Daphnia pulex: one gene and its partners. The protein of the gene in region 3 binds, or shares a complex with, the protein of the main gene of each other region. Links are inferred from orthologs where the notes say so. Each region holds a gene or a part of one and is shown on either strand. Other genes may lie near its edges. The genes, in order: cell cycle checkpoint control protein RAD9A-like, DNA replication ATP-dependent helicase/nuclease DNA2-like and replication protein A 70 kDa DNA-binding subunit-like.

The links.
Region 1: the proteins of replication protein A 70 kDa DNA-binding subunit-like (region 3) and cell cycle checkpoint control protein RAD9A-like are in contact, whole or in part, in a crystal structure (PDB 8JZY), measured with the Homo sapiens proteins. The link is inferred for Daphnia pulex from reciprocal best matches to the Homo sapiens genes RPA1 and RAD9A. Residues at the interface, in NP_002936.1 of Homo sapiens: Asn29, Arg31, Ile33, Arg41, Arg43, Leu44, Leu45, Ser54, Ser55, Phe56, Met57, Asn85, Leu87, Lys88, Asp89, Arg91, Val93; in NP_004575.1 of Homo sapiens: Asp297, Phe298, Ala299, Asn300, Asp301, Asp302, Ile303, Asp304, Tyr306, Met307, Ile308, Met310.
Region 2: the proteins of replication protein A 70 kDa DNA-binding subunit-like (region 3) and DNA replication ATP-dependent helicase/nuclease DNA2-like are in contact, whole or in part, in a crystal structure (PDB 5EAY), measured with the Homo sapiens proteins. The link is inferred for Daphnia pulex from reciprocal best matches to the Homo sapiens genes RPA1 and DNA2. Residues at the interface, in NP_002936.1 of Homo sapiens: Asn29, Ile30, Arg31, Ile33, Arg41, Arg43, Leu44, Leu45, Ser54, Ser55, Met57, Asn85, Leu87, Lys88, Arg91, Val93, Ile95; in NP_001073918.2 of Homo sapiens: Glu6, Leu7, Glu8, Leu10, Met11, Lys13, Ser14, Phe15, Trp16.

The regions. Positions count from the first base shown.
Region 1 is NC_060026.1:14,697,543-14,703,803, forward strand, and holds cell cycle checkpoint control protein RAD9A-like, read left to right. Parts: upstream 1-3,000; 5' UTR 3,001-3,208; coding exon 3,209-3,242; intron 3,243-3,312; coding exon 3,313-3,536; intron 3,537-3,595; coding exon 3,596-3,760; intron 3,761-3,819; coding exon 3,820-3,923; intron 3,924-3,983; coding exon 3,984-4,208; intron 4,209-4,277; coding exon 4,278-4,471; intron 4,472-4,527; coding exon 4,528-4,847; 3' UTR 4,848-5,019; downstream 5,020-6,261. Other genes in the region: uncharacterized protein LOC124203995, read left to right, coding at 41-105, 190-353, 425-594, 683-827, 889-1,141, 1,208-1,310; lipopolysaccharide-induced tumor necrosis factor-alpha factor homolog, read right to left, coding at 1,975-2,083, 2,150-2,244, 2,306-2,373, 2,456-2,549; squamous cell carcinoma antigen recognized by T-cells 3-like, read right to left, coding at 5,059-5,387, 5,455-5,547, 5,618-5,765, 5,827-6,253. UniProt on the Homo sapiens protein: Component of the 9-1-1 cell-cycle checkpoint response complex that plays a major role in DNA repair. The 9-1-1 complex is recruited to DNA lesion upon damage by the RAD17-replication factor C (RFC) clamp loader complex.
Region 2 is NC_060028.1:7,928,786-7,935,389, forward strand, and holds the start of DNA replication ATP-dependent helicase/nuclease DNA2-like, read right to left. Parts: upstream 4,486-6,604; 5' UTR 4,173-4,485; coding exon 4,018-4,172; intron 3,952-4,017; coding exon 3,678-3,951; intron 3,608-3,677; coding exon 3,251-3,607; intron 3,183-3,250; coding exon 2,802-3,182; intron 2,737-2,801; coding exon 2,515-2,736; intron 2,448-2,514; coding exon 2,208-2,447; intron 2,142-2,207; coding exon 1,630-2,141; intron 1,565-1,629; coding exon 1,367-1,564; intron 1,323-1,366; exon of another isoform or gene 1,173-1,322; coding exon of another isoform or gene 1,057-1,172; intron 986-1,056; coding exon of another isoform or gene 938-985; intron 856-937; coding exon of another isoform or gene 793-855; intron 733-792; coding exon of another isoform or gene 584-732; intron 519-583; coding exon of another isoform or gene 319-518; intron 253-318; coding exon of another isoform or gene 241-252; exon of another isoform or gene 99-240; intron 1-98. Other genes in the region: cuticle protein 6-like, read left to right, coding at 241-252, 319-518, 584-732, 793-855, 938-985, 1,057-1,172; RING finger and transmembrane domain-containing protein 2-like, read left to right, coding at 4,905-4,957, 5,013-5,404, 5,475-5,652, 5,723-5,876, 5,939-6,175, 6,246-6,479. UniProt on the Homo sapiens protein: Key enzyme involved in DNA replication and DNA repair in nucleus and mitochondrion.
Region 3 is NC_060017.1:3,018,063-3,024,566, reverse strand, and holds replication protein A 70 kDa DNA-binding subunit-like, read left to right. Parts: upstream 1-2,161; 5' UTR 2,162-2,285; coding exon 2,286-2,330; intron 2,331-2,392; coding exon 2,393-2,443; intron 2,444-2,507; coding exon 2,508-2,762; intron 2,763-2,832; coding exon 2,833-3,047; intron 3,048-3,109; coding exon 3,110-3,272; intron 3,273-3,334; coding exon 3,335-3,439; intron 3,440-3,505; coding exon 3,506-3,605; intron 3,606-3,689; coding exon 3,690-3,802; intron 3,803-3,869; coding exon 3,870-4,004; intron 4,005-4,064; coding exon 4,065-4,328; intron 4,329-4,386; coding exon 4,387-4,470; intron 4,471-4,532; coding exon 4,533-4,602; intron 4,603-4,670; coding exon 4,671-4,795; intron 4,796-4,859; coding exon 4,860-4,967; 3' UTR 4,968-5,147; downstream 5,148-6,504. Other genes in the region: ankyrin repeat and MYND domain-containing protein 2-like, read right to left, coding at 495-1,151, 1,238-1,377, 1,446-1,611, 1,675-1,857; ubiquitin-conjugating enzyme E2 L3, read right to left, coding at 5,362-5,574, 5,697-5,825, 5,897-5,992, 6,092-6,118. UniProt on the Homo sapiens protein: As part of the heterotrimeric replication protein A complex (RPA/RP-A), binds and stabilizes single-stranded DNA intermediates that form during DNA replication or upon DNA stress.

The DNA of each region.
Region 1 (6,261 bases), on a different chromosome or scaffold from region 3:
TCGTTGTTATAAATGAATTGAGTCCCCAAAAAATAACATCATGGATAAACCCGTACCAAAAAGGGCCGGCCTTGCTATACCAAGAAGCAGAATTCCTTCCAACAGGTACTCTTAGAACAAATTGTCAATCTTTTCAGTCTACCATGGCTCATCTTGGACAAGTTTAACATTCTTATTTCTGTGAATAAGCTCTACTCCAAGTAGTGTTATACCACGACGAGGTACTTCTACCCCAACAGGATCATCAAGCAAAAATAGGAGCTGCAATTTTTCCCCAATCACAAACCCGGATTTCTCTAAATCATCTGCCGGGTCAACCGACAAACTTGAACCAAAGCTGCTCAAACCTCTGGGTCAGTGAAATAATTAAATTTGTCTTGGTTATGATCACTTAAATATATAATGCTGGTTTCTTTTTTCGTAGGCCCATCATTTCCTGCTCAACAAACATTAGCTGAAAAGAAATTAGCCCAATCAAGAACAAAATTGTCTACTGAAGAGCAAGCTACATTGATGTACATGATGTATCAACAGCAACATTTCCTAAATAATCAAATTGAAGAATCTAAAGACAGAGTGTTGGCAGAATGCAAGGTAAACAATATACGATTATAACATTAATGTATACTCTTATTTAATTTTTTAACAACACTCCTAACATTTTAATTGAAAATGGTTTCAGGAACAAATGGAAGACCTCTGGAATTTGATCAAAATTAAGGAAAACAAAATTTCCCAAATCAAGGAAAGGAAGAGACTTGAAGAAATGCGGTTGGAACTCACTTCTCAGATTGAAGTATTGGAACCAATTGTGAAGCAAACAACAGGTTTGTCAAAATGTTCACATACTAGAGACATTCTTGAATCTTGGTTTGCATTTGTATTCAGATGCACTAAGTACTGTAACCCCTAAAGTTAAAGAGCTAGCAGATGGTTTGGACATCTATCGCCATCAGATTCGTCTAATTGATATCAATGAATTTAAAAAAGAAGAAACAGATGAATTGATCAAAGTTTTTAAGAACAGCACAACTCTATCCGATAACATTCAGGTGGAAAAGTTTGATGAGTTTATTAAAGCCGCAAGCGTAATTTCTGATCTAAACGGAACTACTGCTATGCAAATTGGAATCATGGAGGAGTATGTCTGCGTTATTTAAAAAAAAAACTCTTTGTCTAGGTCGAAATAAATTATTTTCTGTTTTAGATGCCAGAATATGATGTCGCAATCGATTACTCGGCTTGGCCAAGAACTAACACTGAGAGATACAAAAACGGACTTTAGAAAATTAAGCGATTTGGATGTATAAAAGTTACGTTTTGTTTATATTGTAAGATTATTTCTGTCATGATAATTAAATACTTTGATAGAAATCCAACCATTTCCTGTCATTTGTTTCTTACTGCGCTTCTATTAATGGGTAGGTTAATCCCCAAAACCATGTTGTTTGTATCTATGAAATAGCGGGAAACATTTAATAAGCATCGTTTTGGTTCTTTTTTAACTTTTTTCCATAGGAATAACATTTTCTATATATTTAACGAGCAGCATAAAAATAATTAATAAACTACGGCACTGCAAGATTCAAATTAATTTAAAAAAATTCAGTTAAGAAAAGGAATATAGGTTTTTTGTCCCAGTCGAACAAAACGTTTTTCAATGAATTTAAAATTTAAATTACAAACGACAATTTTAATATATTCGAAGTTTATTCATTGATAAATTTTGGTGATAAAATTAACACGGCGTATCTTTGATTTTAATAAGTAAGCGGAGTAGATATTGAAGCAAGGTACGAATAATACAACGTTCAGCATTTCTATTGTTTGAAATTTTGAAATTGAAAAGCTTCGTGTAATTAGGAAAAAGGTAAATTTTGGCATACAAGATGCAACAACCAAATTTGCCAAAAATGAATATGAAATTTAACACACAGAAAGAACCAATTGCCTCTTCATAGTAAGAACATTAGCTTAAAAGTGGCTGTATCTCCCCAAGTATGCTTTGCAATTTGGACAAGCATGATGAACATTCATGCACTCAGGAATACAGCAGGGGATAAGGCAACAGCCCAACCAACATCTGGTAATAAAAATATATGTGTTATATCAATGTGTAACTCTTAAGAAATTGCTGACTGTGTAATACCCAAATAGAACTAAAAGACCTCCAGAAAGCCAGGCAATCAGACCAGGTTCAGTACGCACAGAAGTGTCAATTTCAGCATGGCAATGTGGACAGACCTGTAAAGAAAGAAGATAGAGAAAATAAAATATATAATTAACTGTGGAGGGAAAAACTAACAGTGTGTGTTGTTCCGGGTCCAACAGGTATCACGGTTGTCACAATAATAGGCTGCTGGTTGGTTACATCTATTAAAAGAGATAAACATTGTGATTTTGAATGTGAGGCACATTTCCCATTAAAAGTTAAAATACTAAAAAAATGCTTTACTTTGATGAGGAGTAAAGGGGCTTGATGGATTAACACCACCCACTGCTTCCATGTAAGAAGGAGGGGCAGCTGGAGGAGGACCTTGTTTACTCATCTGTGAAATAGTTTATGGAGAATCCAATGAATTATTGGTAAATTGGTAATCAGAATATCAGACCAACATTAACTTCAATGTTTTGTATTCTGAATCATGAAAGAGTTTAAATTTTATTTGTTATTACCTTAGAAAGTCATGCAGTACAAGTAAGTTATTCACAAACGTTTACACTCTGTGCTCTAGTTAACACTACACAGCTGTTCTTAAGCTCCGCCCCATGACTTTTCAGAATGTAATCAGCAGGAATTGGACAGCGGAAAAGCTGATGTAATTGAAAGTCTTCCAATGTTTCAGAATGTTATAATTGAAAACCATTGATAAATCAAGGGGAAAAAAAATTTCCTTGAAGTACCTCAGCAGATAAGACCGTCTTCTTTATCTATGGTTAAAAGTACAATCAAGTTTCAGTGACTTGCAGATGTGGCCGAAATAATACGAGTCACGCTCGTCACTTGTTTCATTTGTTTACATCTTCAGTGAAGATAAAATCTCAACAGCCAATCGGGGCATACTTGAAAAAATTCATTTCCGTGTCGTCTGCGTGCTAAACATTCTAAACGTGTTATCCGGGACATGGGGTTACCGATATAATTTCTGGCGGCATTTCGAATTTTTTTTTAGTGCAAACAACTAAATTTACATTGAAGTAAAGAAAAATGAAATGTCTTTTGGATGCAACCAGTGTTAAGGGTACGACATGATGTTTCATTTGATTGTACTAAAGCAGTTGAAAGCTAAAACACTTTCTTTTATTCTTTAGTTTTGGCGCGAGCCATACACTCATTGGCTAAGATAGGTGATGAATTGCACATTTCACCAATGGAAAATGGATTAACTCTGAAGACCGTCAATGCTTCCAAATCTGCCTATTCAGCTTTCAATTTTCACCTACCTTTTTTTCTTGACTACACGCACATAAGTGAAAATACTGTTCACGCTGATCCAGAAGAAGATACTGTGATTAAATGTAAACTTCCCATGAAGGTCTGACAAATAACTTTAATGTGAAGTATTGTGTGTTTACAATGATGTTTTGTTTCCAGTCCATCTTGTCTGTATTTAGGTCGATCGGAAGCTTGGAAAAATCAGTTGAAACATGTAAGATAATGCTACCACTTCTTGAGGCTCTGTTAATCATTGAGTTCAGGTGCAAACATGGAATTGTTAAGTACTTCAACTTAAGATACTTTGAATGTGAAAGTGTTGAAGTAAGTCCTTTGATTTGGTCTCGCCAGACTTTTAATGAAAATAACCTAAAAATTCATAGGCAGAATTCTCTAAGGAGGGTTACCCCAGTAAATTTTCCTGCTCTTCACGTTTTTACAATGAAACTCTTCAAAGTTTTCATTCAAGCACTCAAGAAGTTACTTGGTAATCCAACAACATAATTGTCATGTTTAAATAACCTCAAATTTCGTTTATTCTTTCAAGGTCCCTTGCAATGGATCAAGTACATTTGAGTAACCATATTGATGATGAAATAGACCCATCCAAATGTGTTCGTACGGAAGTCACGTTGGTCAAGGATGAATTCATTGAATTTAACGTCGCTCTGTGTACTCAAGTTACATTTTGCTTGAAGGAATTACGAGCTATTTTGGCCTTCGCAGAAGCCCTGAAACTCGATCTTGATTGTCGAATGGAAGGCGCCGGACAGTAAGCAATATTTCATTTTACTTGTGATTCAAAAGTTGCATCGATTATTTACGGAATTCCTTCTACCAGGCCTGTTTTGTTCAGTCTACAAAAGGATGACTTGTATTCAGCAGATTTTCTCCTTGCAACTCTAACGCCTGCTCTGGACACTACGGCATCCATTAGTTCGCGAACTGCCAAACACGAAATGTCAGTACAAGGCAATACCTCCAACCATCCGTCTCCTGTCCCTACCCTGAGGAATAAAACAGGTAACAAAACAGGCTTGAAAGGGAAGTCAGGATCTTGACATACATTGCTCTCCTCGTGAATTTTCTAGATTCCAGGACCATTTCGCGTGCCAATTTGGTCGATTCTAGGAACGGTTCTCGTGCAAGCACGACACACACTCGTTTACACACACCTTTGATACGACAAACGCCTGTTAACGAGGATCATACCCCACGTCTTAACAGTCTATCTCTTATCGAGCCCCATCCGTTTCCTGATATGGAAGTAGATTTGGAACCCGAAATTCAACCACCTCCTAATAAGAGAGCTCGGGCTCGCTACATATTTCAGAATTGTCTCAAGTTAACACAAGAATACAGAGAGCGACCAACTGAAGTCTTTGCTCCGGATTCAGAGGAAGATGAATAGCAAGAGACGAAATAACCCTTTCCCGGCTTTCCCCTCATCCAACGATTTTGTACATTTTTCTTTCGCCGAGTTAACTCAGTATTGTTTTGTGTCAGAATTTTGTAACGGTACATCACTGTATCCTATATAATGATCACAAAAGTTAAAGTGCCATTAAATGTTGATCAGTCCATTTTTTATTTATTCGTGCCATTTCAATGTCATTTTCAAATTATTTCTTTAGAAGCATGGACCGGAAATCGGCATTGCTCTTCGAAGCACTGGCGGGAACACTGACGGGTGGCGGCATGGTGGAAGACTGAGATGTCTGGCGAAGGACGGCGTTTGGAACAAACGACACTTGCGTTCTCCTTACCCGTGTTCCGCCACCCAAAGATAGTTCATCCTTGTCCAGGTTTCTGTCTTCGCGACGTGGAGGTGGATTGCTTAACGCAACCGTCAAAACTTTGTCCTGGAATGTAGTTCCGTCTGTCTGGTTCATAGCCATCGTCGCTGAAACTTCATCTTCGAATTCAACGTAAGCCAGACCTTTGGGCTTTCCTTTATATTTAATTAAATAGAAGTTAGTAAAGAAAAAATAAATTTAATTTAGATTATTAAACGCTACCGTTCCGTAACGTTACTAATCGAACGTCCTTCAGAATTCCAAATTTTTTAAACAGAGCTTCCAAGTCTTCTTTAGTAGTAGTGAAAGCTAAGCCTGTTATAACATCAAATAGATTTGGGATAAAAACAAATTAAGCTCGTACCTAAAGATCGCAAATACGTACCTTTGATAAACAGTTTTTTCTTTTCTAATGTTGACTGGTACTTGAAAGCTGGATGCTTCAATGCTGCGTCCGGTTCGCTTGGAGACATGAAAACCGGTCGTCCTTTCATGAGCTCACGGTCCCGCTTCAGAACTGCTCTCGCTTCATCCTAAGATAGTTTTAAATGAATTTAACGGACAAGCGTAGGAAATTTAATTATGGAAGTTTACTTGTGAAGAAAATTCGACAAAACAAAATCCTTTGCAACGTTGTTTGTAGTCCAGAACAAGACGTATGTCCGTTATGGTGCCGGAAGAACTCATCATGTTGCGTACATCTTGTTCAGATGTTTCGTAGGCCAGATTGCTTAAAAAGACCGTATTGGCATGACGGGAAGGATCGGTAACCGGTTTAGGAATGACAACGGGCTTGCTAGCAGGTTCGGTGGCGTTTACTTTAGGTTCAACTTTCTTTTTGGGAACAACTTTCGTACTAGTTGCTGCGGCATCATGGCTTATTTTAGGTTTTTTGGCAGGCACGGGTTTCGATTCTTTCGCATCTTCAATCTTTCCTCGTTTCCTACCTTTAGCCGTTTCTACTTCTTGAACCGTTTGCCCCTCTCTTTCTTTATTAACCTTCTTCATCCGAGCTTCACACCTGGCATA
Region 2 (6,604 bases), on a different chromosome or scaffold from region 3:
TGCGCAAAGAACTGTAGCACAATAGTCTCGTCCCTCAATCGAGTCCGAAGGTAGAGGCGGAGTTTTCAAGATTTGAATTTGTTTTGTGGTGATTTCCTTTTCTTTTAAAGAGAAAAGGGAGGACAGGGATCGAGTGAGTTCAACCAACGCGCAAGTATAAAAAGGGCGTGAAGCGGATGAAATTACATTCAGTTCCACAATACATTTCTTACGCTCAACCAGTCCACTCTCTCCACAAAGATGCAGTTCTTGGTAAATTCTTGATTCACTCTAAGAGTCTCACATTTGACTATGAAATTAATAAAATTTCTTAAACAGATTTGCATTGTTTTGGCGATCGCTGCCGCTCAAGCTGTTCCTAGCCCAACGTACGTACAGTACGGACCTGTTCCAGTGGCCACTCAGGGTAAATACCATGCTCAAGACGAGCTGGGTCAGTATTCTTTTGGCTATCACGAACCTAACCAAGTGCGGAGTGAGACCAAGGACGCATTTGGCATCGTTCGCGGATCATACACGTAAGCAAATAAATGTTATTCGTAAAGGGGAAAAAAAAAATCTTAATGTTGACGGTACAATGCAGTTACTCTAATCCGGACGGAAGCGTCGTGACTAACAACTACATCGCAGATGCGAACGGATTCCGCTCTTCCTTGGCCCCTTCTAACGGACCACTTCTGCCTCTTGTGGGAAAAGCACCCAAAGTCCCGATTAGCTACGCTCCCATCGCCAGTAAGCACAATTCTTGATTCTTTGTCGAGTTTCTCTTGAAACCGTCTATTTTTATCGCAGTTGCTGCCGCACCAATTCCGGTAGCACCTATTCATGTTGCGCCGTCCACCCCGTTGGTGAAGGGTGAGTAATTTTATATTTAAAAATCACCCCCCCCCCTCAAAAAGTACATCATGACTGAGCAATTTTTCTTCAATAAAAACAGTTGAGAAACCGACAGTAGTGAAACATGCTGGAGGCCACGTCGCTCCAGGTAAACCGCTTTTTACATTTTAAATTGTCTTTTTAACAATTAACTTATCCTATTTGAATTATGACACGCAGTTGCACCTGCTCCATTCAGCCCATACAGTTATGCCTACTCGCCTTATCCTTACCCGTCGTACCACTATGCTCCTTATGCTGCTCCTTACGGCTCCGTGGTAGTACGATCTTGGTAGAACGGACCAAAATCTGCCGTAACCAGCATTTCAACCATCACGAACACTTGAATTCCATTAAATTCCCCCTCAAATCATTGCATTCCTACCAGCGTTGACTGAAATCTCGAGTTACCGAGATCGAGAAATACACGTTTTCCATTGAGGAAATTGATTTTAATGCTTAATTTTAGAGAGTAAATAAAAATAATTACTTGGCTGATCGACTTTGGACGACTGGTGGGAGTTGAAGAGGATCGCCAACAAGAACAAATCTTTTGGCTGCAGTAAGTGGTCCGATGACAGCCAGCTGTAAGGCTTGAGCTGCTTCGTCGACAATGCACAAATCGAATCTGCGACGAATTAAAGCTGGATGGCCGACACTTAGGCAAGTTGCAGCTACCACTGGCACGCTGTAATTTTAAACACATAGCAGATTAAAAATTTTGATTAAGAAAAAATAACTCAGTCGATTTACCTGTAAACATTTTCTAACTCTTCCACTGTGTGACAAGTTTGGGTTTTGACTTCGGCACTGTAGGGCAATATGGAAGGGTGGGTGCGATGCTCGCGGCCGATCCGAACAAACTCCACATCATTAAATTGGCAGAGCTTGAGCAAGACGTTGTCGACGGCCGAGTGAGTGTAGCTCGTCAGGAGTACGGACTGTTTAAGCAGGACGGCCAGTCGTATCAAAGCCACAATGAGAGAAGTCTTTCCAGTGCCGGGTAGACCGTTGATAAGGCAATAATCTTCGCAAGTCAGAGCTTTTAGCACAGCTCTTCTCTGGAATCCATTCAAGGGTTTCAAAACGGGCCAGAAAACTTCAAGCAAACTTTTCGGCAAGCCGGCTTTAAAAACAGGAACTTTTTTATCAATGATTAACTCCCGCAGCCGGACGGCATTTGCATTGTTTGCCATCAGTCGACTGAGGTTCGAATATAAGAGCGTTTGGCCGCCTTGATACTCAAGTTTATCCAAGTGGAGGACCTAAACAATGCAAAAGAAAATATTAGCTGTTGCCATTTTTCCAGTGTGACACGATTCAATAAGCACCTCGAAATTTCGATCCCAATTGTGAACATTCCGGTCGGTAGAGACAGTAATAGAACTGGGACTGATGTCAACTAGACAGCCAGTGGCAACGGCCACTTCTTTATCAGTACTGAGCACCACGCTGTCACCTCGTAGCAGTAATGTGTTAATAGGTAGATGACTGCGATTAACCGGAATAAGCTGGATTGTATATTGATTGAAATCTGAGGTAGGATTTTGCGACGCAAGGCAATCTTGAACCTTGAGAAGACATCACAAATGTTTATAACGGAAAAGTGAAAAAAAAAAATAAGAGAAAGAGGAATACCTTAAGAAAACTGATGCAATTTCCCTGAGCTTCTCTATCAACTGGATCTATGCACCAAATATCGCTGATGGAACGAGAACGATGCTGGGATTCTTCAGATTCAAGTCGCAGCATTTTCGACCAATGTAAAAAGTAGTCCTGATATGCAGAACTTAAATGAGCAACCGACTCGAGAGGTAAGGGCGTCGAAGACATGCTTTCATTGTCGGCATCTTCAGCAATCTTTTCGGGAAATATTTATTTTAGTATTGACAAGACATTTTCTACAACAGAATTAAAGATCTTACCTGATAGACGGTGCATTCAACCCGTAATGGACATGAAGCACACATATTCACGCGATCAATTCGTGAAGGAAGTTGACCCTCGGAGATTTCTCCGTTTTCCGAGATCGAGGTAGGCGATGTTAAGTACTTGACCATTTCGTTTCTCAACTGAACGAGACCCTGTTTCTCGCTATGGCCGGCAGGTACGTGTTGGATGGCACCGTCTTTGAGGTAAAGTAATAAACCACCTGGATTTTCATCTGTTGCTTTTTTAACACCGGTCTGCTGGTTCATCATCATTGAATAAAGAGTAACTTGTCCTTTGTGCTCCGCGGAGAAGGACGAACGCCCAGTCTTTAACTCTAAAGGCATCTTGACTCGTCCAAGCTTTTTATCGTTAACCTATTTAAAATTTTAAAATAATTTTGTTAAGAATAAACTTTTTTTAAAAATAGAAATAGGTTTACAACCTTCAGAGTAAAATCCACCTTTCCCTTAACGCCAAGCCATGGAGACCACATATTCTCTTCTATATCACAGACGGAATCGATTTGACCGTCCCACATAGTCGGGGAATTTCCAAACTTCCCGCTTTTTCCGACAACCTGTTGCCTGTTGTCTCTTTTGCTTACTTCGCAGGGTCGAGTTGCATTGATGTACTTATCGATGAAATTTTTGATCATAGGAATGTATTCGGAAACACTGTTTTTCAGATGACTCTTAGGTATATTCGCCCCATATAGATCGTGAATAGTCGAAGGGTCGCTAAGTAATTTGTCAGCTATTTTATTTAGTGAAGAGGTGTCATAAGTTTTTTCTATTAATGCCTAATGCAAATAAAGGCATAAATTCAATATTGATGACACAGTATTAATTTAATAATAAAAAATTGCATACTTTTTGTAAAAGGCGATGGACTATAGTTCCATTGAGCATAACCTGATTTGTAGGCTCAATTCCACGAAATCTTTCAGAAAGCACTGCTTTGCGTTGACAAAAGAGTGAAGAGACAACTGAAGTTCCAGACACTAACAGGTCTGGTTTGACAACGATGAGACCACTTTGTCTATCAACAATAGCCAAGTCATAGTTTTCAAAGTTTTCATCAAATGATTCATACCAATCTGCATGTATATGGACATCATCACCCACTTTGATAGCAGTGTCTAGCCTGAATGAAAACAGACAAAAATTAGAAATTACTCCCATCAGCTAAACCTATCAATTTGATCATTACCAAAAGTCTCTTAGCATGCAAATTTTCTTCGTTTTGTATGTCTCGTCTAATGGGGAAACAACAAGACGCAGTTCATTACCATTTTCAGTCTTGTCGCACTCTAAGACTTTGTGTCTACCAAGACCATAAATATCTTTTTTCGTTGGTTTCTTCATTATTAATTACAACACGAACGCATACAGGACCTAATTTTGTATCTAGTTATGGAATAATAATAATCTATAGTTTTATTTTACACTTTTGACTTGGATCGAGTAAGTTGCAGAAGTAGTCATGCGGGATTCACGACTGCACGTGAGTTCAATTCGCGCCAAATCACAAATGTTTTGTCAGAAAGCGGCAGACAATTTAGTTACCTACACACCCGCAAAATACTAAGTGCGCCATCTGAGAAACCTTTAAACCAATAATATTTTGGCGTATCCACTTCCGACCTGCAGGTGGCGTTAAAAATCGTGAAAAAAACAACAAAAATTCACCATTCACCATTACTAGATAAACTGATGCAAGTTTTTCAAGACTGAACTAGTGCGTGTCACGTAAAAGACTCAAACTAAATAAAATTAGCTGACGTATAAGTTTATCTGTGCCAAAGTATTTCGTAACACGATTTAATCTATAAAACTTGTGACTTTGGCCTGTTTTCGGCATTTACACAGTTTACTTGTTTGTATATGTTTATGATCATCTGACCCTTAACGGAAAAGTTGAAGTACCGAGTTATCTACTGCAAGATTCGCCGAATAGGAATATCAATTGAGGGGAATGAAAAGTTTTGGTGCATGAGTGTGATTTATATGCAAAAAGAGGTAATTCAATATTTGTTTTTCAAATGGGATGAATTCTTAACTGACCTACAAATTTCTAGGCTGACGCAGTTTGAAAACATGGGAAGTAGACCACCACCTCCTAGTCCTCCATTTCAAATCACATTTGGGAGGTAGTATGTTTACTTCCTGATTCCTTAACTTTGCCTTACATGTTTTATGATTTAGTCCTTCCTGGAGATTTCAAATACAACAAGGCAATAATCAGCAAATAGTTCTCTCACAATGGCTGCAAGGTCAGCGATCACAGCAAGGACGTCAAGGAGAAAGTCTAACAGAACCTCCTGGTCAAGGACAACCAGTCAACAGTATTGAAACTACTGTAGACATATCTGGTTCAGATAATCCAGTTTCAAACCAATCACCTTCAAATGAACAGACTATTCCTTCCACCCCGCCTACAACTCAGGCCACCCCCAATGTATCAACTAATCCATTCTCAGCAATCAACCAATTTTTGGAACAGAATCCAGAAATGTATGGTGTTCTGCAGACACTTCTAGCTTACATTCCTTTTTTAATCCTAATTTTATTTAAGGAAATTTACAAACATACTTCAGGTAAATAGAACAATTTTTATTATATAACTGTGCTCACATGTATATTAATTAATCTTGTCATTTTTCTTAGATATACTTGTTATTCTGGCTTTGGTCGTGACTTTTATCCATGCTGATAGAACTGTACAGAGGGAAGTTTCTAAGCAAGGGAAGAGAGAATTGAAACCTTTAGGAATCATAGCTCTAAATATTGTTGCGTGCGTGTTACTTGTGCACTTTTTGTGCGGCGACAATGAATTATACCACAGGTTTGTCTAAAAAAGAAATGTATGTTTGATTTCATAATAATACCAATTTATTTGTTTATGTTTATGTTAGTCTTTTGGTTTTCATGCCTAACTCCGCTCCAATAACACTAGCCAATTTATTTTGGGCCGTGACGACAACCGACCATATTTTGAAACTAGCTACTGTTCTTTTCAAAGGCATTCTTACCGCCATTCCAATTGCCGTGTTTCCTATCTCTCGACGGGTGAGAAAACTAAATTTTTTAATGTTTTATTGTTGCTGAACGATTTTCTTTATTGTTTCCAGGGAAAATGCTTCGCTTTCATCGAAAGATCTTCTCACCTCTACCGAGCCCTAGCAGCAGTACCACCATGGATTCACTACCTTCTTAACAGTCAGTCGAGTGAAAGTTCAAGCATTTTCTTCTATGATACGCTCGTTGGAGTCTGTTTGTGTGGGATATATTTAACCTGTAAAGCTTATAGAGCTATCAAGCTCGTCAGAAAATGGAAGCTTTCAGTTTCAAAACTGCTTCAAAGCACGGTAAGATCGAACCATCGTCATTTCACTCATTATTGGAATGTAATATTTTTTCTTTTTCTTAATAATTCAGCGCTATGGGGCTCATCCTTCCAATGAACAACTTCAGAACGCAGGCCCTATGTGTCCCATCTGTCACGATGGATACAGGAAACCAATCTTTCTTTCATGTAAACACATCTTCTGCGAAGACTGCTTGTCCATGTGGTTGGATCGAGAAAGAACATGCCCAATGTGTCGTTCAACGGTAGCCGAAGATCCCAAATGGAAAGACGGCAGTACCTCATATCTTGTCCAACTTTTCTGAGTTACTTACATGGTTGTTCATTCACCTTAACACCGATGCCTCATATTATATATTCAAAATTTCAAATGTATTAAAAGGTTGCGACTTTTGTGATCCTAACGTTGGGCGAATCGTACAAGTCTGAA
Region 3 (6,504 bases):
TCTTTAAACTATACGATAAATTCTTACAACAAGTTTTCAATTATCATTCGTCGATTAAAAACCAGCGATTGGTTTCGCGTAATTTGTATTTCCTTGTTTTGAGGTGAGAGGGAAATATTTCTTAGTGAAGGGTAGACATTTGAAGATTTAGTGTAGCAATATGTGGATGAGGAGGGCCACAAGAGAACAATGTCCATCTAGTGGCTGGTTTTTTAGTCTAAGAAAAGAAATACACTAGAAATGAGGCATGACAAGGTTTGTATTTGTGTGGGATGAATGCGACGATAACATGGGGGCCATTCAAAGCAGATTTTTCACGATATAAAAACAATGGGACCGCACGTACAGTGTAAAAGACTGGACAACTGAATAGGTTAGCTAAATATGGAAGCAAACAGGGGTCCGCTGTAGACAATTGTAGATTAAAAAGGAAACGTACGGGGTGAACATACATCGAATTCGATCATGCAAAAACCCCCACATAATCAAAATTTCTATTTGCTGGTTTCCGGATCGGCAGCCTTCGCCTCGGAGTCTTGAGATTTAATTTCCAAATTTTTAAATTGCTTGGCCAACTTGTCGCACTCCTTTTTGTGGATAGACCAGTGCAACTTTTGACAATCGCGGTTGCAATATTGCACAGATTTGCATATGGAACACTTGCTGGCTACCTTCTCTTGGCCGCAAGTGGCACAGGCGTCGTCATCTTGAAATCCACGCTGACCGTTGATGCAGGAAGTGAGAAGATTGAGAGCTAGTGGAGTCTCCTCTTTTGTCTTGGACAGATTGACCAGCAACTGGCGGAAGATGGTCGTCTCCTTGAAAGGGAAAGTGCGGATCGACTCGCGGATGAAGTTGTCCATAAACTCGGGAAAACCATCGGATTGACGTTGCTTCAAAAATGCTTTAACATATTGATTTAATAACTCCAAAACGGTTTTGTCGGGGTGCTGCTGCTGCTCTTTGGCCATTCTTTCGACTAGGAAACGCAAATAGTGGTATTTAAGTGCGAGGATCTCGTTGACTTCTTGGCTGCGCTTCATCTGATTTTCGCTAAGTATCTCCAAGACGTTTTTCACTTTTGTGAGGTTATCGTAAAGCAAAGGAAGTTTTTGAATAGTCAACAAAAGGTGAACTGGATGCAGATTGACCTGATAAATCAAACAAAACAAAAAGTTCAAGTGCTTTTCCGTGGCAGAATAAGAAATGAAGTGATGTGTCTATTCAAGTGCACAACCTGCATCACAAATTTGTGCAAAGCTGGTGCAGCAGCTGGTGGCAATTTTGGCTCAGTTTGATCGCTAGGAGCTACAGTGTACTGCTCTATTTCTGAGCGTGGAATGAAATTGTTGATGATGGAAACAACTGTGTGATTCCCTGGTTTGCCAAAATAATTCATTTTAGTTTTGGATGATTTGTACAAACATTATGATTGACTAGCCTACCTACAAATGCAGCCATTTGAGCTGCAGTTCTGCCTACTGAGTTAACCACATCAGGTTTACAACCACACTGAAGTAATTGTTGACAAATATCCAAATTTCCAGACAGAGCTGCAAAATGAAGGGAAGTATACTTGTGTTCATGATGACCTCCATTGGCATCAGCTCCCTTCGAGAAAAAAAGTCAACTTTTCAATCAAATTAACAACATTGATAATATAGTTAGACTTACCAGGTCAAGGAGCAACTGGCAAATATCTTTTTTCCCTTTAAAAGCGGCATGTTGCAGTAATGTCATTCCATGCTCATCCTCATCGTCAATTTCAACGTCCCGGGATTTTATAAGTTCTTGCAAACCACTAGTATCATTGTTGTTAATCTTGTCAATAGCTTTAATAAAGTTTTCCGAAATCATTTTTCGAGATTCTTTGGCAATTAACTCGTTTTTGAAGGAAATCAAATAATTCAGTCACAAATTTTCATATAACGATATAGTTTCCGTTGTCGTCTGCAACTGTTGCTATAACAACCGGACATTTCGAAAAACAAAAAATCCAACAACGCCAAAAATGCGAATAAAACGAAAACTTATTTTTGCTTCGTATGAACCTTTATTTCAGAAAAAAAACTTTTTCATTATTTTTCTTCTTTATATTTTTAGTGGTCTTCATTGAGTTAAAAAGTTTCTTAAACATTCAACGCTGCACGTTCAGCCTTGGTTTCGTTTGTACCACTGTTGTTTTCCCGCCATCGCACTTCGTCGTCTTGTCCGTAAAAACTGCTTAAAAAAATTCAAGCACGTTGACTGAACGAAGTAATCCCCGTTAAAAAAGGTTCCGTAAAATGAACAGAAGAAATCACCCAGCACTAACCAGCGGCGCAATTCCGGTAATATCAATCATAATTTCGAATTTTTGAATAAAACTATAAATATCTTTATTTCGACATAGTCCATCATTGGGAATGGCCTGCACAATGAAACTCCAATTCTACAAGTTTTGGTAAGCAACGAGCAAGATTTTTTCTTCATTTGCAGCATTTTTACATTTTCTTCTCTTACAATAGGGTTACAAAAATCTTCAGGGAGACAATAATGACCGTTACAGAATTCTCATCTCTGATGGAAAGTATTCCTATGCATATGGAATGTTGGCAACACAACTAAATCATCTGATTGTGGATGGTCAGCTTGAGAACTTTACCATCATTAGAGTAAAAAAGTTTGTTGTTAACAAAGTTGCTACTAAGGCAACTGCAGGCAAGGACCAAAAGAAAATTATCATTCTTTTGGATGTTGAGCCAATTGTGCCTGGAAGTGAAGTATGTTCACTTTACTTAGTTTCGAAATACAAATAAGGATATCTCTTCATTTTGAACATTTTTTGTTTAGGTTGGAGAAAAAATAGGAAACCCTCAGACTCTTAATGATGTTGGAGAGGTTACTGAAGAGGCAGCAGCAAAACCTGCACCTTTAGGAAATGTGAACAATTACAATATGGGATCGAAGTCTGCACCACCTAACAAAACTGGTGGATATGGACAGCCAACAGAGAAGTCTGACATTATTACCCATCCGATTGTAAGCCTTACACCCTACCAAAACAAGTATGTTTGTTGAGAAATTTCAGTACAAGAAAAATTGAATCATTAACTTTGCTTGTTTGTAGGTGGACTGTAAAAGTGAGAATTATAAACAAGTCCGATATCCGTACGTGGAGCAATTCTCGAGGTGAAGGAAAGCTTTTCTCGATGGACATGGTGGATGAGACTGGTGAAATCCGTGCCACTGCATTCAATGCCGAGTGTGACAAGTTTTACCACATGATTGAGGTACATTTAATTCAAAAACAGTGTTTGAAGTTATTTATTTACATTGTTATTTTTCGTTGTAGATCGGCAAGATCTTTTACATTTCACAAGCACAACTGAAGGCAGCAAACAAACAGTACAGCAGTATGAGGAACGATTATGAAATGTCGTTCAACCAAAATACTACAGTATGAATGTTTTTCAATCGTCAATCGTACCAGCCTCAATTTTTTTTTCTTTTACTTATTTTTTAGGTAATTCCTTGCCACGATGATACATCAGATATCCCATCAATCTCCTTCAACTTTGTTCCCATTGATCAGCTACCTAGCCTGGACAAGGACAGTGTTATTGGTAAGTTGTCTTTTAGGTGCATTAACATTACAATTCTTCTATTTGAATGGTGCCTACGATATGACCGATTGACCGTGCTTTCAGATGTCATTGGTGTGGTTAAGTCAGCAAATGACGTCCGCGTTATCGTTTCCAAAACGACAAATAAAGAATTGAGGATGCGAGAAGTTCAGATGGTGGACAGTACCAACACAGAGGTATGACTGGATTCTTCGTTTAATTGTCGAGCCCAGTTAATTAATCATTCTTGTCTTCAAACATCAGGTTAATTTGACTTTATGGGGAAAAATGGGCGAGGAATTTGACGCTAGCTCCCAGCCTGTTGTAGCATTAAAAGGAGTGAAACTTTCTGATTTTGGAGGTCGTTCTCTAGGAACAGTCTCGTCTACTGTCGTGCAGGTAAAATCAAATGTAAGACTTTCTATTTCTCTACTATTCTACAGCGCATATTTTTAATAGATCAATCCTGACATGAATGAAGCTCACAAACTAAGAGGGTGGTACGATAACGGTGGCTCATCATCGGCCGCTTCTAGCATTTCGGCGAGTCGTGGCGCTGGCACTGGTGGTAGTGGTGGGTCGTATAAGACTTTCGCTGAAGCAAAATTCGAAAACCTGGGAAAAGATAAACCTGATTTCTACAGTGTTAAGGCTATGGTTGCTATGATCAACAAAGAAAGAGCGTTGTACATGGCTTGTCCCAGTGATGAATGCAACAAAAAGGTAAACATAAATATATAATAAAACAACTCATTTTTGACAATATTTGCGTTTCCCGCAGGTCATCGATCAAAACAATGGCCTCTATCGATGTGAGAAATGCCAGCGCGAATTCCAGGAATTCAAATGGCGCATGATGCTTTCGGTATGACAAAGATATTTTATGAAATCTATTTCTCTCAAAACAGCACTCGAAATTTGTTATAGGTCAATATCGCGGATGCCACGGACCAGCAATGGGTAACCTGCTTCCAAGAAACCGCTGAAACTCTTCTTGGTAATTTTGTTTTCGAACTAATGTTACGTTTAGCATATAATATTTATTTATTTGATTATAAATTTTAGGGAAATCCGCAGACGAGGTCGGTAGATTGAAGGATTCGGATAATAACGAATTTCAGAAAATTTTCGAAGAAGCTACTTTTAAGTGGTATGTCTTCCGCCTGAGAGTGAAAATGGAGACGTACAATGTAAGTCTATGAGCATTATGAATTTCGATCTTGTTATCTGTTGACGCTTTTACCTTTTCTTTAGGATGAAAGCCGCCTCAAAACAAATGTCTATGAAGTGAAGGAAATCAACTATAAAGAGCACAACGAGCGATTGATTCGAGAAATGAAAGAAATGGCTGCATCAGAATGAATGGATTTTCCCTTGCTCCTTATCTATTAAACTTATAAAAAACCTTCATTTTCGGATTATACAGGAACAATTCTTTATGAATTCCTGTTCTTGTGAATCAAATCGAGATCCCGGAAAAACCGTGTGTGTAACATGATAATAAATGATTTGCAAAATAAACATGGATATTACAAAAAATAATTTTTCAGACAACTGCAAATGTATTGTTTTTCGCAGCTCATGTGCAATGAAATATTTCAACCATCAAGAGAGGCAAAGATAGAAATGAAAATAAATGAAGATCACAGTGCAGCTCTCACTGCTCTACAATGAAGTGAAGAGGGAAAGAGGGGGGACCAGTTCAAAATTTTAACTCTGCCTCTTCTCAAGTGTTTATGATGAAAACAGAAAACATTTAATCACTTGGTCTCTTCTCACTGTTTTTTTTTGTAAACTCTTCTGCATTCTTCATGAATTTCTTTTTGTCTTTGGAATACTCTTCAGCAAGATCAGCCCTAAGTGGATGTTCAGGCTCTGGATCATTAACCAAGGCAACCAGCGCTTGTATCACTTGATCAGTTTTGGTGGCAGGCTTCCAGTTTTCAGCACTTATTATGGGCAAACAGACCTGAAAGAAATAAACACACAATAATAAGTATGGCAAAAATTCCAAAAGGCAAATGTTTTTAAGACCTAACAGAAATTGCCAGACAAATAAGATATTTACAAGGTTAACATTGAAATTTTTACCTGTCCCTTTTCATCAATATTTGGATGATAGATTTTTGTCTTGAACGCAATTTTTGGTGGTTTGAATGGATACTCAGCAGGGAAATTTATTTCAATCCGAAAAGCTCCTTTATTGTAGGGAGCATTTTCCTATGAAAAATATATGATGGCTTGTAACCAAGGTAATTCAATCAATATTCATCTAAAAAATTCAGACTCACAGGAACAATAAGTCCATGCCAAGTCAAAATGTTTTGTTCATCAACTTGAATGTCGCGAAAAGATTTCAACCCAGACTTCTTGATGTCTTCCAATTCCTTTGACCACACAGAGAATACATTAAATGTTTATACAGATGAATTATTATCACTACAGATTATGAATTTGTGATGCAATATAGATAACTTTCAACTCACCTTGTGAAGTCTTCTAGTTGCCGCCATTTCAATTTAATCAATCAATCAATTACTGAAATATTACTCTACTTAGCGATTTATTGAAATTATTTACTACTAATATCTGAAGTTACTTCCACAAAAGAGCTGCTGTGAACGGCTGCTTGCCTGCTTGCAAACTTGTGTTGGCCTCGTAGATTTCAAGGCCATACACAAAGCACGTAAGTTAAAGTACCGCATACAGAGCCATCTTAAGTGAAAAAATGTTTCCTGAAATACGATTTTTTCAAAATTGGAATAACCAAACAAAAGCGCATGCGCGTAATATTTTGCTGTGCACAGTTCAGACTTCAGAGTAAGGTAAAAAAAAATCTTGTCTTTCTGTCATTTAAATAAAGAGCCGTAATAACAACATCAAATAAAGAGATAAAAAT